Arabidopsis thaliana: one gene and its partners. The protein of the gene in region 2 interacts with the protein of the main gene of each other region in a pairwise test. Each region holds a gene or a part of one and is shown on either strand. Other genes may lie near its edges.

Evidence for each region.
Region 1: the proteins of AT1G03040 (region 2) and AT1G05710 interact in binary tests that used the Arabidopsis thaliana proteins (3 or more experiments, as listed by UniProt).
Region 3: the proteins of AT1G03040 (region 2) and AT3G20640 interact in binary tests that used the Arabidopsis thaliana proteins (3 or more experiments, as listed by UniProt).

What each region holds. Positions count from the first base shown.
Region 1 is NC_003070.9:1,713,046-1,717,792, reverse strand, and holds AT1G05710 (basic helix-loop-helix (bHLH) DNA-binding superfamily protein), read right to left. Parts: upstream 2,976-4,747; 5' UTR 2,409-2,975; exon of another isoform or gene 1,598-2,408; 5' UTR 1,596-1,597; coding exon 1,485-1,595; intron 1,375-1,484; coding exon 1,309-1,374; intron 1,235-1,308; coding exon 1,058-1,234; intron 932-1,057; coding exon 770-931; 3' UTR 503-769; downstream 1-502. Other genes in the region: AT1G05720 (selenoprotein family protein), read left to right, coding at 44-116; AT1G05700 (Leucine-rich repeat transmembrane protein kinase protein), read right to left, coding at 4,548-4,747.
Region 2 is NC_003070.9:703,311-708,379, reverse strand, and holds AT1G03040 (basic helix-loop-helix (bHLH) DNA-binding superfamily protein), read left to right. Parts: upstream 1-1,715; 5' UTR 1,716-1,922; coding exon 1,923-2,279; intron 2,280-2,723; coding exon 2,724-2,846; intron 2,847-3,012; coding exon 3,013-3,078; intron 3,079-3,250; coding exon 3,251-3,316; intron 3,317-3,711; coding exon 3,712-4,101; 3' UTR 4,102-4,531; downstream 4,532-5,069. Other genes in the region: AT1G03050 (ENTH/ANTH/VHS superfamily protein), read right to left, coding at 1-76, 191-654; AT1G03030 (P-loop containing nucleoside triphosphate hydrolases superfamily protein), read right to left, coding at 4,812-4,898, 4,999-5,027.
Region 3 is NC_003074.8:7,209,808-7,215,081, reverse strand, and holds AT3G20640 (basic helix-loop-helix (bHLH) DNA-binding superfamily protein), read left to right. Parts: upstream 1-1,607; 5' UTR 1,608-1,882; coding exon 1,883-2,112; exon of another isoform or gene 2,113-2,164; coding exon of another isoform or gene 2,165-2,208; coding exon 2,209-2,896; intron 2,897-2,979; coding exon 2,980-3,096; intron 3,097-3,488; coding exon 3,489-3,551; intron 3,552-3,791; coding exon 3,792-3,857; coding exon of another isoform or gene 3,858-3,866; exon of another isoform or gene 3,867-3,973; coding exon 3,974-4,024; coding exon of another isoform or gene 4,025-4,036; exon of another isoform or gene 4,037-4,278; coding exon 4,279-4,428; 3' UTR 4,429-4,772; downstream 4,773-5,274.

The DNA.
Region 1 (4,747 bases), 1.0 Mb from region 2:
GTTGTAGCTGACCTCTTTGTTTCTTGATTTGCTTGTTTTGCAGAATCGACAACTGGAAACGCGAACATCTACTGCAGTATATGCGAGAGAAGGTCAAGCCTACTGCAGCAAGTTAGTTTTATCCCATGTAGAGCTGAAGAGGATGATCCTCCCTGTCACATTTACATATGCCAAAGCATTGCAATCTAGTAGTTAAAAACACATTATGACCGACTTATCTTATCTTTGTCCAAGCTATTTGGTCCCTTGGTATCAACAGTCTGTATGTTCTGAACCTTTGCAATTCTCAGTGGTAATGTATTTAATCCAATGTTCTTATGAAAGGATAATCTTAATTCTGTGGTCAGCAGTTTGGCACTATTACAAGCACTGAAAGAAAGCTATATGTATTAGGGAAATCCACGATCATACCTTCAGCACTGAAAGAAAGCTTGCCTTGGGTCTTTAGATCTAGAATAATGTATTGGATGCTGTAGGTAAGAATCACACAAAGAAAAGCTTAAGATATCTGAGGCATTTTTTGGGATAAAGATTACTTTGCATTAAAATCATTTGGTTCCTGTTTGGGCATATTACACAAGTCCAAAGTAAGGGGATGCATTAAGCAGTCGAATAATAATAACAATCATTGCCAACCATGAGCTGTTCTAAACCAACATCATGTGCTCTCTGTCTATATATGTTACAGAGGCATCATCAGAAAAATAACAATTGGTCATTCTTTTTTAGGCTTAACACAAAGATCGTAGTAGGTGATTAGTCGAATTGGTCATCTAAAGGGTGATTGAGATGTGACACTGAAAGCTGGTGATAGAGGAGTCTTCACGGGCGCCCATATATCAGCGCCGTTGCTTTGAGCAACTCCAACTGTATTCTCCATTGGAACAAGACATAATCCTCTGTTTCTCAGGCTGTACTGCTCCAGCTCCTCCTGGTTACAAAAGACGGGAAAATCAGTCCGTGCAAGGTATTCAAGTTCCAAGTGAAGATCTGTCAGATGCAGAGTAGAACTAGTGAACTAAGTATAAATGAAGTTGAGATTCAAGATCATACTCACCTGCGTAGCATCAGGTACCGTTTGCAGATACGGAGCACTTAGCACCTGTACAAAAGAACATGGGAACTCAGATAAAGATGAATGAATCATGCTTGGTATTGAACTGCAGACCTTCACTTGTTCGTGAAGAAACTCTATGTAATGCATCGCGTCTAGAAGAACTGATGCAGTGTCGGTCTGTGAACATTAGAGAAAAGTATGAGCTGAGAGACAGATTCTTTTGATTTGCTTGCCAAAAAAAACAAAGTTACCTTTCCATAAGGGGAAACTATTTGTTGAAGAGCTGAAATACGTTCTCCAACCTTGTCCTTCCTCTCCTGTTTGCCATTAAGAGAACAAAGATGGACGGATCATTACCATGCAATTTGTTGTACCGAAGACTATTTCGACCGAGAAATCCATGAAAACTAGCTAGGATAAGCAAAACCTTGGAACTGAAAGAGAGATCAGACTTGTGGCGTTTGATACTGCTTTCTCCGAGAGAGCAGACATTCCGCTTATTCTCCATCATCATTCCAGCGTCTCTAGAGAATTCCATACCTTTTGTCAATAAGAAATGCGCTAAAGAGTCATCAACACAACATGACCCAAAATTTATACTAACAAGACATGTTACATAGGGTACAAGGTTACCATCCTAGAGCAAATTACAGACCAGAAAGATTACAAGATCTATGAAATGATGATCTTGTTTTGGACCAACCAATGCATTGGGAGACAGGATTTGGAAGAGAAATTTAGAATATTAAGCCAAGACAAAGGTATGGTCAACGAAGTAGGCTAGGATTTGTGGTCAGAGGCTAGGCCTCAAGTTCACATCAGCTTAAGCATTATTTTAAGATTTCTAAGCACAATTATAAGCTCAAACAAAAAGATTAAATATGTTATCATACCTTGCTTAGATTATTTGCATAAACTCATAAACAGAGAATAACATCATATATGCATGAATCAATAGAGTCCCTAAAAACAGGAGAAAACCCCCCCAAAAAACAAAACACATATAGAGAATCCTCCACGGATCAGAGGAGAACAAAAAGTCACTCTCAGTGAATTATTGAAGTTAATGTAAACAAGAACTCAACTTCTTGCATTACAATAACAAAACTATGAGTAGAATCTGGTAACGATATCTATCAAAGTTGGTAACTTTTTCAGTCACGGGGATTGTCGTATAAACGAAATCAAAACCTAATCCAACTGAAGGTTAGCAACAAGAAGAGGAGAGATAAGTAATTATGCTTGAAATTAGCTTTTAGCAGACTAAATTTGGTGTAATTAAGCCAAAAATGGAGTAAAGAAACAGAGCAAATAAAGAAAGAACGAATAAAGAGAGAGAGAAAGAGCTTACGGAGAGAGAGATAGGTAGAGTCACAAATTGGAAGAAGAGTCTAAGAAAAAGCTTTATTGTTCAAGAAGCCACCACCCACAACTTCTGAAAGTTCCAAATTTTGCTTCGTTTGAACCCTAAAAATAATTGCTTTTTTTTTTGTCCTTGAGCTTCTTTCTGACAACACAAAACCCGATAAGATACAGAAATGTCTCTCTCTCTCTTTTGAGTTTTCTGAGTCCAAAAGGCAAAACTCCAAACCAGTATTTAGTATGTATAAACGTCAGTCTTTTTCCTTTGTTTTGCGCTTAAAACGACGTCCAAGATCGTGCTGTGTGACACGATGAAGAGCTCAAGCAGAGTGAAAATAAGCGTCGTTTCTTATAAGGTCGTAAGATTAGAGCAGTCGCAGAAATCTCGGCGTGAGAAAAGGAAAGAGACAGAGAGAGAGAGAGAAGAAACTGTGTCTGTTTTTGTTTATGCTCCAAACAAATAGAAGGGGACTTATTTTTATGTCTGTCTTTTTCGTCTAGACTCTTTTTGGGTGAAGTAATGTCATTTACTTCTCATTTAATTATTTTCAAATTTATTTATTGATTTGTATAAATCTAGAGTTTTCAATTTTATCGACTATCAATATTTTTTGATAATTTTTTCCTTACGAGTGTAAAGGTTATAACAAGCTACAAATTTATTCAAATGGTCAAAATCAGAGCCACTCATGCCTGAAAATTGTAATTTTGCACACAAATTCTTGACCTCACATTATGTTCAGAAAATCTCCAGATGTTTTATTTATGTGCTCCAAAGACTTCTATGATACATTTTTTTTTGACAACCAATTAGATGTAGATTAATAGATACATAAGTATTTCTTAGTTTAGATAGAAAAAAATGGAACCTTAAGTGACGTAGTTAGGACATTTTGGAAGCATGCATGTTCTGCATATATTGCCCCCACACCATCTACTACAACTCCTGCAAACTTTAATAATAAAGATGAAACAGATGACTAAAGAGTAAAGACTAATCCCTAATTAGGCTTTAGTGTTCAGAATCAGTCTTTTGTCTTGTGACTAAATACATCATAATTTGACAGCTATTATACAACCCATTGAGAGAGTGAGAGGTCTTCGTAGTTAATATCAGTCCCAGGTAGAAGTTGCTTTTATTATTATTATTATAGATAGATAGAGAGAACTATTTTTTCATTTATTGATGATAGTGACATTGTAAGGTTATTTTATTTTGTCAACATATTTGACCAGCTCTCTGCACCATCAGTCTTTTTGTTTCTACTTTCCACTTTTTGCTTTTTTCGTCTTTGAATTTTTGTTCTCTTCTCTTTAAAATCAACCAAAATTTCAACTAGAGAGGTTAAAAACATGGGCTGTATATAAAATCCATCAATCTAATCAAATCAGTGATTGAAAGTGATGTATTATTTTCATAAATTAACACCTACAATAATGAGATTCTCTAGCGTCTACCATTAATAATGAGATTTTAATTAGATTGAACGAGTTCATTTCATTAGTATATCCGTTGTTTAACTACAAGAGAATAAATGAAGTGTTATGAAAATGATAATTTACTACTGTAAATTTTTATGTTTCAAGTAAGACAAATTTAATTTTTCTGACGTCAATGCAACTTCATAGAGAGACTCAGGCGTTGAGGAGACGCGCACGCGTGGTTTCGGACACCAAACTCGCTCTAAAAGTCACTCACGTGGAGCGGTTAGAAGAGTCACGTTTCGAAACGCAGACGCAGAGGTAGAGATTGCGTGTGTAAAAAATAGAGATTTGTGGGGACAGCGGCACAGACCGTGCGACGCAAAAGTCCGAAAGGAATCAGCGTTTTATTTAAAAGGTACGTTTGGGGTCCTACGCGGCTTCGGTCTTTGTCTTGTTGTCACCATCTTCTTGTCCTCTTTTTTCCTTGTGGCTACCGGATTAGGTACTTTTTCTTTGTTTTTTCCTATTTATTATGGATTCTTTTCTATTCCATTACATTATTACTTTGGGCTTTTAGATATAGCATTAGCAACACAAACTTTAAAAAGCCTTTCAAAAATTTAAATATATAAACACTCCCAAGTTTTCAACATCTTTCTGTTTCCAACCCCTTGACTTATTCTACACCCTTTGCGTTGTGACATCAATAGTTCTTGTTACTCTCTTCTCTTTGAAGACACTCATTCAATCCTCTAACAATATGTGGCATGTTTGGCCTATCAGAGACGTTCTGCGAAACAGAGGATAATGCAAGCTCCACAACTTTCCATACAGAGTTTACATCAAAATCTTTCGCCATCTTTGAATCTATAACATTGTTCACATCATTCGTAGACCTCAAGA
Region 2 (5,069 bases):
AGCTTGATCCTGTTCTTCTTCGTCAGCTTCTCCTCCAACGCAGTAAACTCCACGTTTCCCGTGTCTCGCTTGCATCCTCAAAAATTGCAATGAAAAAAAAAAAAAAACCGCATATCTTAGATATCATTCAAATTACATAAATAACTTGAAATCCCGAATCGGAACCTGGATCAAGCACAAGAACTCTTACCTGAAATCAAGCCTTTCGTCAAGGTACAATGCGTAAGTCCTGACAAACGCAGAGTAGTCCCAAGAATTAGACCTCGAAACATCCCTAAAATCAGACATATTGAGAAGCCTTGTTCCACGGCGAGTGGCGAAGAAGATCTCTTGCTCGTAGGCTTGATCTCCTTCTCCTAAGAGCCTTTGGATCAAAATCAAGGTTTTGAGGGCAACGGTCCAGCATTTGGTTTTATTAAGGCGTCTCGAAAGCGTGCTAACGCAAGCGTTGATGTAACTGCGTGAGTAAGAAGTTAGGCTAAGAATCTCTCTAATGTATTTCTCTTCTGCTGGAAACTCTTCGTGACGAGTGGCTTTGACGATGGCTACGTCAAGTTCAGATAAAGAAGCGCTTCGACCATTGACTTTGGCTAGACCGACGCTGGTTTGGTCCTTTACGGCTCCTATGGCTCGTTTAAACTTACTCGAACCCATTTTTATTCTGATTAGTTAGTAAATTTGTATTAAAGACAAAAAAAAGAAAAGAAAATATGTAAAAGAAAAGATTTGAAGAGAGAAAAGGGAAGAACGAGGCTTGTTTTTATTTTGTTTTTGTTTTTCCTCGTCGTTTCCTTTTTTCTCCTCTGTTTCTTGTTTAGTTTTGTTTTGTTTCTTCTTCTTCTTCTTCTATGTTTTTGTTTGTTTGTTTCGTCAATGTAGTTTCTTTGTTGTTCGTCGATTATTCACCATCTAAAGTCGCCGAGGTTATTGGAGGCTTTGTCCGGTGAGAAATATGGCCACGTGGCAAAAAATTAACTTATTGTTTGACGGGTCAACTGAAATTTAGTTTGCATTTGCCATTAATGGGTAAGGAGAAGAGTACTGATTAAAGAGGAAAAAACTTTCTTCTAATTTGTAAAAAAAAATACACCAAGCTTTTTTCTTATGGATTGGAAGCCCAAGATTGAATTATGGAATCCAACAAATCAAAATCGATCCAAGCCCATTTCTGCTGACATATTTTTTACTCGTATTATATTCAGAAATGCCACAATTTTGTTTTGTGAAAAATAGAAAAACCCTTGTCTCTCAAAATGGAAAACGAGTCGGACAACGGTTCAGCACTAAGGAGAAGCAAGTTGTAATACCATATGGCAAAATGAAACGTGTCATTTTTATATTGGATATTAGAAACTTTACTCCATGAGTGCTAAATTTCGGAAAAAACGACAAAGACAGATTTTTTTAAAAAAATCTTATTTTCTACCACTAACGAGATGACGACGACCCCGACAATGCGTAGAATTTTTCCCATATCATTTATATATTTTAAAAAAAGAAAGTTATATTGGTTTTTAACATTCTACTAAAAAGAGTTTGGTAAAAGACCTTTTTCTTAATTTGATATGAATAAATTGAAGAAAGTCAAAACAAAAAGCCCACTTCAAAACAAATAAAGCCCACTTCAAGTTTCTGGAAGGTATATAAGAACAAGGGCAAAACCGAAAATAAACCACAAAGTAAGGTCCTTTTAACAAAAATAAAATGAAAGAGAGCATAAAGTGAGTCTTTTTGTCATATCCTTTCTCGTCTGTGTCTCTTCGTCCTCATTAGCTTAAGCATCATCATTCTCTCACCTAACAACTCCACACAAGATTCTTCGCATGGAAAGTTGTTCTTCGACTTCTCTTCTCTAACTCGCTATCTTTTAACTCACCCAGCTCCACTGAGTCGAAAATTTCAAACCTTTACTCGTTTCCTTCATGGCTAATAACAACAACATCCCACATGATAGCATCTCCGATCCATCTCCTACCGACGATTTCTTCGAGCAGATCCTCGGGCTTTCCAACTTCTCCGGTTCTTCAGGTTCTGGTCTCTCTGGAATCGGCGGCGTGGGTCCACCTCCGATGATGCTTCAGCTTGGTTCAGGCAACGAAGGGAATCATAATCATATGGGTGCCATTGGAGGAGGTGGACCTGTAGGGTTTCATAATCAGATGTTTCCGTTGGGATTAAGTCTCGATCAAGGGAAAGGACATGGCTTTCTTAAACCTGATGAAACTGGTAAACGTTTCCAAGACGATGTTCTTGATAATCGATGTTCCTCTATGAAACCTGTAAGTTTCTCTTCAGAATCTTCACTTTGTCTTTTTCTTTTGTGTTCTCGAGAAAATAAAGTGAAATTCAAATCTTTAGGGTTTCAAAATGGTGTCGTTTTTGAGAAAACCCAGCTTAGGTCTAAATTTGATAGTTACCGAGAGTTTTTGGCTCAGATTGGTGAGATTTGATGTTTTTGAAGAAACCCAAGTTGAAGATTTTGATGTGTTTTAAAGTCATAACACTAAAATTAGTTTTGCAAGAAACTTTAGTATAAAAGAGTGTTCTTTTATGTCCAAATTATATTGTAAGAAAATTTGCTCTTTAGTTTCTTTTCTCATGTGGATAATTCCGTCATAGTTTGAATTGTTGCTATAACTACTCTAGTGGCGACCGTTCTTGTGAGAAGCGGTTTTTAAGCTTTTCTTAATGTTATTACGGCATTGTTTTGTGTTTTGTTGAAGATTTTCCATGGGCAGCCAATGTCACAGCCAGCTCCACCAATGCCGCATCAACAGTCTACTATTCGGCCTAGAGTTAGGGCTAGGCGAGGTCAAGCTACCGATCCACATAGCATCGCTGAGAGGGTAAGATGTTTGATACACTTTTTTTATCTTCTGGTCTCTTTTTTCGATTTTTATGTGATAATGTTTGATCAAAGCTTTAATTATAGCTTTTGGTTGAGAAAGTTCGATTAGTTCTTACTTACTAAGAACGGTAAGACCTAACCTGAATGTATTTGCTTTGCAACAGCTCCGAAGGGAAAGAATAGCAGAACGGATCAGGTCGTTGCAGGAACTTGTACCTACCGTTAACAAGGTTGGTATCTTTTTCTCTAGAGCTTCAGCTACTGTTTTCATGTCGCGAAGAGAGCTTGAAAGAGATTTTAAAAGTAGGGAGAAAACTAGAGTTGTCAATGAGAGAAAAGTTTTGTGATTGGCATATAGAAACTGCGGTATTCACATCTGTTTCTTTTGCTTTCCTTTTGCAGACAGATAGGGCTGCTATGATCGACGAGATTGTCGATTATGTAAAGTTTCTCAGGCTCCAAGTTAAGGTAAACACCCAAGTCATTTTCAGTTTTCTATTCTCTGGTTTTTGAAAATGCTATCATTAAAAGTTTGTAGAAAGATTATTTAAAACAGCCAGAAGGATTTAGTGGTGTAAATCCTTGGTCCCCACCACCACCTACTCTCTTAAACCAAACTTCCAATCTTAATAAAAGATTATAATTGTTTAATCTGGCAATAAAGAGTAATCAAAGAGTACATGATTGTGTGTTTTTTGGCATTAGTGTCTTTCACTTTTTGCTTGCTTCCCTCCCATGGAGAATCATCACAATTGAGGACTATTGTAATAAAGCTAATGAGAACATTGAAGAATATTTTATGCAATGATGGGCTTTGATAATATTTTTCCTTCATAAGCTTTATCTCTGGTCAACTATGGCAGGTCCTGAGCATGAGCCGTCTTGGTGGAGCCGGTGCTGTCGCACCACTAGTCACTGAAATGCCATTATCTTCATCAGTTGAGGTTAGACTAGAGAGAGATACTTCATTAAAAAAAGAACAGAACTTTGGTAATGGTTTTTCTTGCACTGACTTGTGGTGTAAAAACTTTCTTCAGGATGAGACGCAGGCCGTGTGGGAGAAATGGTCAAACGATGGGACAGAGAGGCAAGTGGCTAAGCTGATGGAAGAAAACGTTGGAGCAGCGATGCAACTTTTGCAATCAAAGGCTCTTTGCATAATGCCGATCTCATTGGCAATGGCGATTTACCATTCTCAGCCACCAGACACATCTTCTTCAATCGTCAAACCAGAGATGAATCCTCCACCGTAGATTTTTGTTCATCCAACGGTCCCCAGCTGATGATTGACATTTTGCTCTGTTTCCCACTACTAGACTTTTGTGACTCATGAAAGGTAAGTAAAAAGGCATTGGAGATGGAATCTAAGTAGGATTTGTGCAGTAAAGAAGTAAAACGGGATCTGTCAAAAGAAGGAAAAAGCTCTCGCTTGCTTGGCTAGTATTTATCATTTTGATGAAAGTAACTCTTTTTTGTTCAAAGACTTTAGTGTGATTTTCAGGACCAAGGGCTTTGAGGGTAGTGCTAGCTGTAGTAATAGTAATGAAGGTGTGGGATCGTGTTTCTGAATTATGTAAAAAAGGAAGAAAAAACAAATGTTGGTATTATATTATGGTTTTGCCTCTCTTTTTTTTCTTGCACTAATTTGGATAGACCATTTAACTATTCAAAATGATATAGTTGGGAGCTGGACTGATTATAATTAGGTAATTTCCCGCGCATTCAAACACTTTATGCATTAGAACTTCTAATTTAGAAGTATAAAACACATTGTCTGAACAAAATCCGTGAGTATGCAGAGAACACTAGCATACACAGTTTACTGCGAACAAATTGCTTATTGGAAGTTTCCGTTGCAAGAAAAAGACATTGTAGACCAAAGGCAATCTTCCCTTGAAGCGCAACATTGTCTTTTGTTATTCATCTTATTCTGTTTCGTCCAATAGCCCCCTTGAAAGTAGATTCAAATGTTCATAGATCTGATCAGTAGATCAGCGTTTGTCTTTGACTTTATTATCAGCTCTGCGTTGGGTCGGTCATTATAATCCACCTGCCATCCAAATTTGAAAAAAAGAAGCAGCTAGCTACCTTGAACAAACCATTGAAACCATGTAACTGAATATTAAGTAGAGTAGAGCCAGAGCTTTTACCCGCCATTTAGCAACATCTGGGGGTTTACCTGTAATTCACAAAGGGAAAACGGATTAAACAAAAGCGAGAT
Region 3 (5,274 bases), on a different chromosome or scaffold from region 2:
TAAGCAGTAAATTCAAATAGTCACTACTCACGAGCTCAAGTTACATGGGTGAATTTGCAATGGAATCTTTCATTTTCTTGTAAATGTTGCACGTTAAAAAATGGTGGTATTCTTCTTCTTCTTCTTCAAATTATAAGATCACCAACTCAATGGAATGTTGCCGTGGAACTATTGTGTCTCCAATGGCAATCAACTTTTAATAAGTAAGTAATCGTTAGTACTTCGCTTGTAATGTTATTTTAGAGAAATGAACAATCAACACCCCCATTCATTTTTCTTGAATCAATGTAAACTTATATTCAACTCCAAAAAAAGTATTTTGTAAATTATATTCAACACCCCATTCTAAAAGGTAAATTACACCACCAAACCCACATTTTCGATTATTTTGGTTTGTAAACAATTATTCGAATGGTTTTATTTATAAATCGGGTAAGATGGATTCAGTAACTCCAAAATGATTCCAATGTATCTTCAATGAATTTAACATTACAAAAAAAAAAAAAAAATGATTCCAATGTATTAAGAATGTAATGTTTTAGACAGAAACAGGATCATGCAAACTGTAAAAAAAAAAAATTTGCGGTTGTAAGAGAAGAAAGTACGTATGTGATATATTGTTTGACTATATAGAAATTACAAACACTAATGCGAATATTAACAGCAAAATTCAATATCAATATATATGACTTCTTTTTTTTTGGTCGAGCTCGTTGAGAATTGGAAAATGAGAAGAGACAAACGTTAGGCAAAAGAAAATGATTAGGGAGACGACCAGTGAATAAAACACAAATTATATACAATTAATCTTCTAAAAAGTTAAGAGAGAAAATTACCGTAATTAACATTAAGAATAAAAGATGCCGAAAAGAAAAACAAAAAGATTTTTTAAAAAGAAAAGAAAAGAGAAGAGTCATATTCAGGCTCTGACTCTGAGACGAAACAAGTGGGGTCCAAGTGTGAAAGCACGCGCGCACGCCACGTGGAGCCCACTCGTTGACTTGCTGTGACTGGAAAAAAATAAACGCTGAAGTTTCATAGCCAAACTCAAAGGCCAAAATATTAAAATGAATAGAATTATTTTAAAAATATCTCAGTGGTTTGTGACTATGACTGTGACCGTGACTGTGACCCGCTCCTTCTAGTCCATCCTTGGTCTCTCTTGCTTAAAATAAGTCAAATCCATTTCAACCTCCTTTTTTATCCCAAAAATCTATCTACAAAGTCAATTTGTATTTCCTCATTAGCTAGTGTTTTACTTCTCAATGTGAAATACTTAAATCTAGATTTATTTTGTTTTCCTATCAAGTATCAATCATTACTAGTTAATGAATTAAAAGGTTGTTACATTTACATTCACTAAATTGAAGGATGTTAATACAAAATATATTTTACAAAATGTTGTTATTGTATCATTGCGAGTAGGGTGACCAAAAAATAAATTAAATTATAAAGAGTGATATAATATATGCTTGCAAAATGAATAAAAGGAAACTTTACCAAAATATAAAGGAAAGTAGGAGAAATGAAATACTTATTCTTTTTAGTTGTAACCAATGGAAAAATCAACAATATCTTTAGTAAAACAAAAACAGAAGTTGGGAATGACGTGGGCAAGAGAGTCAGCGAGAGCCACCTGAAAAAATGTCAACCAAACATTAATCGGATGTCTTCACTCTTCATAAATAGTTCACGAAAACCCTACCAGGAAAAAATATCCAATTTAAATTGATAAATATTTATAACTATAAGTATCTCTCTCGTGTGGATCCTCATCATTTCATGTAACCACAATCTGAGAAGACACAACAAATTAAGATCCAACATCAATACACACACACATATATATATATATATATATATAGTGAGAAAAAAAGAAGCTATGGGAGATCATCATGATTTCATCAACTCAGGAAGCTGGTGGAAAGTATCTTCTTCTTCTTCACCATCTTCTTCTTCTTCCATGAGAGCAAGCTCTATTGAATCTGGTGGTTCTGCTGTTTTCCATGATAAGCTTCATCATCATTCTTTAGCTACTGATCACCATCTTCAGATGATTGGTTTAGGACTTTCTTCACAATCACCTGTTGATCAATGGAACCAATCTCTCTTGTAAGTCTCAATTTTGTTTCTTTTTTTTTATTTGGTTTCAGTCATAAGATTTATGTGTTTTGTCTTTGTTTTCTTTTTCTTTGCGGGGAACAAAAGACGAGGAGATAGTAAAGCGGAGACAAGCTTTGGTGTGATGCTTCAAGAGAATCTCAATTTAGATGCCACTTCAAACGCAAACGCTAACACAACGTCATCCACATCTTCTTACCAGCTGCAAGAATCTGATTCCTCTCACCATCATCAAGCTTTGTGGCGAGATCCACAAAGCGATTTCAAACCGCAGATTTTAACGAGTGGTGGTAATCGCGGGTTTTTCTTAGATCATCAGTTCAGTCCTCATGGTAGCTCAAGTACCGACAGTAGCACAGTAACATGTCAAGGTTTCGCTGTTGACAACTCGTCAAACGCCATGTACGCAGCAACAACAACAACTCCTAATTCATCTTCCGGTATGTTTCATCATCAGCAAGCAGGTGGTTTTGGCTCTTCTGATCAACAACCGTCGAGGAATCATCAACAGTCATCTCTTGGCTATTCTCAGTTTGGATCATCCACCGGAAACTATGATCAAATGGCGTCAGCGTTACCATCGACTTGGTTTTTAAGATCTTCTCCGCCGCCAAAACCACACAGTCCTTTGAGATTCTCTAATAACGCAACGTTTTGGAACCCCGCGGCTGCGGGAAACGCCGGTGCTCCTCCTCCTCATGACGCGTCTTCTAACTTTTTCCCGGCGTTACAACCGCCGCAGATTCATCCGCAGAGTTTTGACGAACAACCAAAGGTATATATTTATAGCTACACGAACTACTTTATTTAGATTTATGGATATGATCTATATAATTTATATGTATTGGTTGGTCGTAGAATATATCGGAGATTAGAGATTCAAGTAGCAACGAAGTAAAGAGAGGAGGAAACGATCATCAGCCGGCGGCGAAAAGAGCTAAGAGCGAAGCAGCGTCTCCGTCACCAGCTTTCAAGGTATTTTGCTTTGTTGATATTATTTTTTAAATAAGGGGAAAATAAACAATAAAGCTTCTTTTTGGTATGAAAATAAAAGCATCTTTAACGACATTGAAATAAAACCAGCTTTCCATGGTTTTGCCAAAACAATCCGAATCTTTCTATTAAACAAAACCGAAACCCTAATTTGAACAATAAAATTAGGTTTATCATTTACCACCAAAGTATATGCATGATAGGATATTATGAAACATTCTTTTATTGCGAAGTTGTTTTATTTTATATCAAGAAAACAAACATTCTTCCCACAATTCTTGCATAATTGCTTATACTAGATCTCTTTAGTTTTTTTACTTCATAGTATTTTTTTTATAACAAGGATTTGTTTTGATAAAATTTTGCTGAATTAGAGGAAAGAGAAAATGGGGGACAGAATCGCTGCGCTCCAACAATTGGTTTCACCTTTCGGAAAGGTACTATCTCTCTCTCTCTCATTGTCTGCAAATTTTTGCTTTACCTTTCAGAAAGATGATGAGTGTGTATTAGTATATTTGTATACTGTCATTATTACTTATCATGTTATTGTTATTATATCTTTATGGATTTATTTTATATGTAAGGTCTATTTCAATAGATATTTATGTTGGAGATGAATGAATGATATACCATTTCTTAGATTTTGTTTTACTGAATCTCATGTGCTTTTGTGTCAGACTGATGCAGCCTCAGTGCTCTCTGAAGCCATTGAATACATTAAGTTCTTACACCAACAAGTTTCTGTAAGTTAGCCCACTCCTTCGTATTTTTAGTACACAAACATTTTCTGCTACAGTTTAGTTAGTTATTGTATTTCTTCTACTGATGTACAACAAACCTGCAAATGATTATAACTCAGGCTCTGAGCAACCCATACATGAAAAGTGGAGCTTCTTTACAACATCAACAGGTAATATTTTAATTATATAATTTTATGTATACATTATTAAACCATTATCATACTGTTATTATTATTATACCATTGAATAAACGTATGGCTCTCGTTCGCATTCTTTATTACATGTATTTAATATGGTTGCTTCATCTTTAAGATTGGACAATAAAGCATTATTCCAAGAAACAATGTAGCGAGACGGTTTTTGCAACGAAAAAAGAAATCATTTGCAACTTATATTTTTTCTTTGTTTTCTAATGATGATGCAGAGTGATCATTCCACAGAGCTAGAAGTATCAGAAGAACCAGATCTTAGAAGTCGAGGTTTATGCTTAGTGCCAGTTTCAAGCACATTTCCAGTGACACACGATACTACAGTAGATTTCTGGACTCCTACATTTGGTGGGACTTTTAGATAGATATATAGACGGAAAATCGTATATTAGATGTCGGGTAACGTACGTATCTTTTTTAACTTATAATATATACGTTGATTGCTGATAAGAATCACCGCATTTTTAAACGAAGAGGAGATAAGTTAATGGACAAGTGAAACGTGTTGTCCATTTATACTTCTTATTCATAGAACTAAAAAATAATGTGTAATTGAAGAACCATGCATAGATATATAAGAGCTATTGAGATTTGACATGTATTTTTTCACACGACCAAATTAATTCCAAACATATATCTATAGGTTTTTTTGGGGGGTTATAATAGTTATGTATGAAAGATAGATGTTTTTTTTTTTTTTTTTTTTTTTTTTTTTTAACATTACCTTCATTTATAAAACGAAATCGAATACACACCGCCTCCAAAACGAGTAACACCTACAAAACAACAAAGAAAAGTAAAACAAAGCATATGATCAAATAAAGAGACCGAACCAAGTGGCGAGGTACGATAAACCATTGGGGCCAATACGTTGAGCTCGTGAGAGAGGATCAAGATGAGTGCGAATAAGATTCTTTATCTCCATAATCAGTCCAGCAGCAGGTCTCGAAGAAGAAGTGTGCAGACGAGTGTTCCGTTCCCTCCAAAGAGTATAAACATTGATTCAGAGAAGAATAGATGTTATGTATGAAAGATAGATGTTAAGTTATTCGTTAGAGAAGAATGTAGGGATCTATAATGTAAGTATTGTCTTCATTGATTCAGAGAAGGAGAAAGGTGATTTAATTATGGAGAAAAGGAGCTTTTGTTTCTTCCTTTTTTTAGCTATTCTAATTTTTGAAAGGGAATAATTAGATTCCACGAATAAGAGA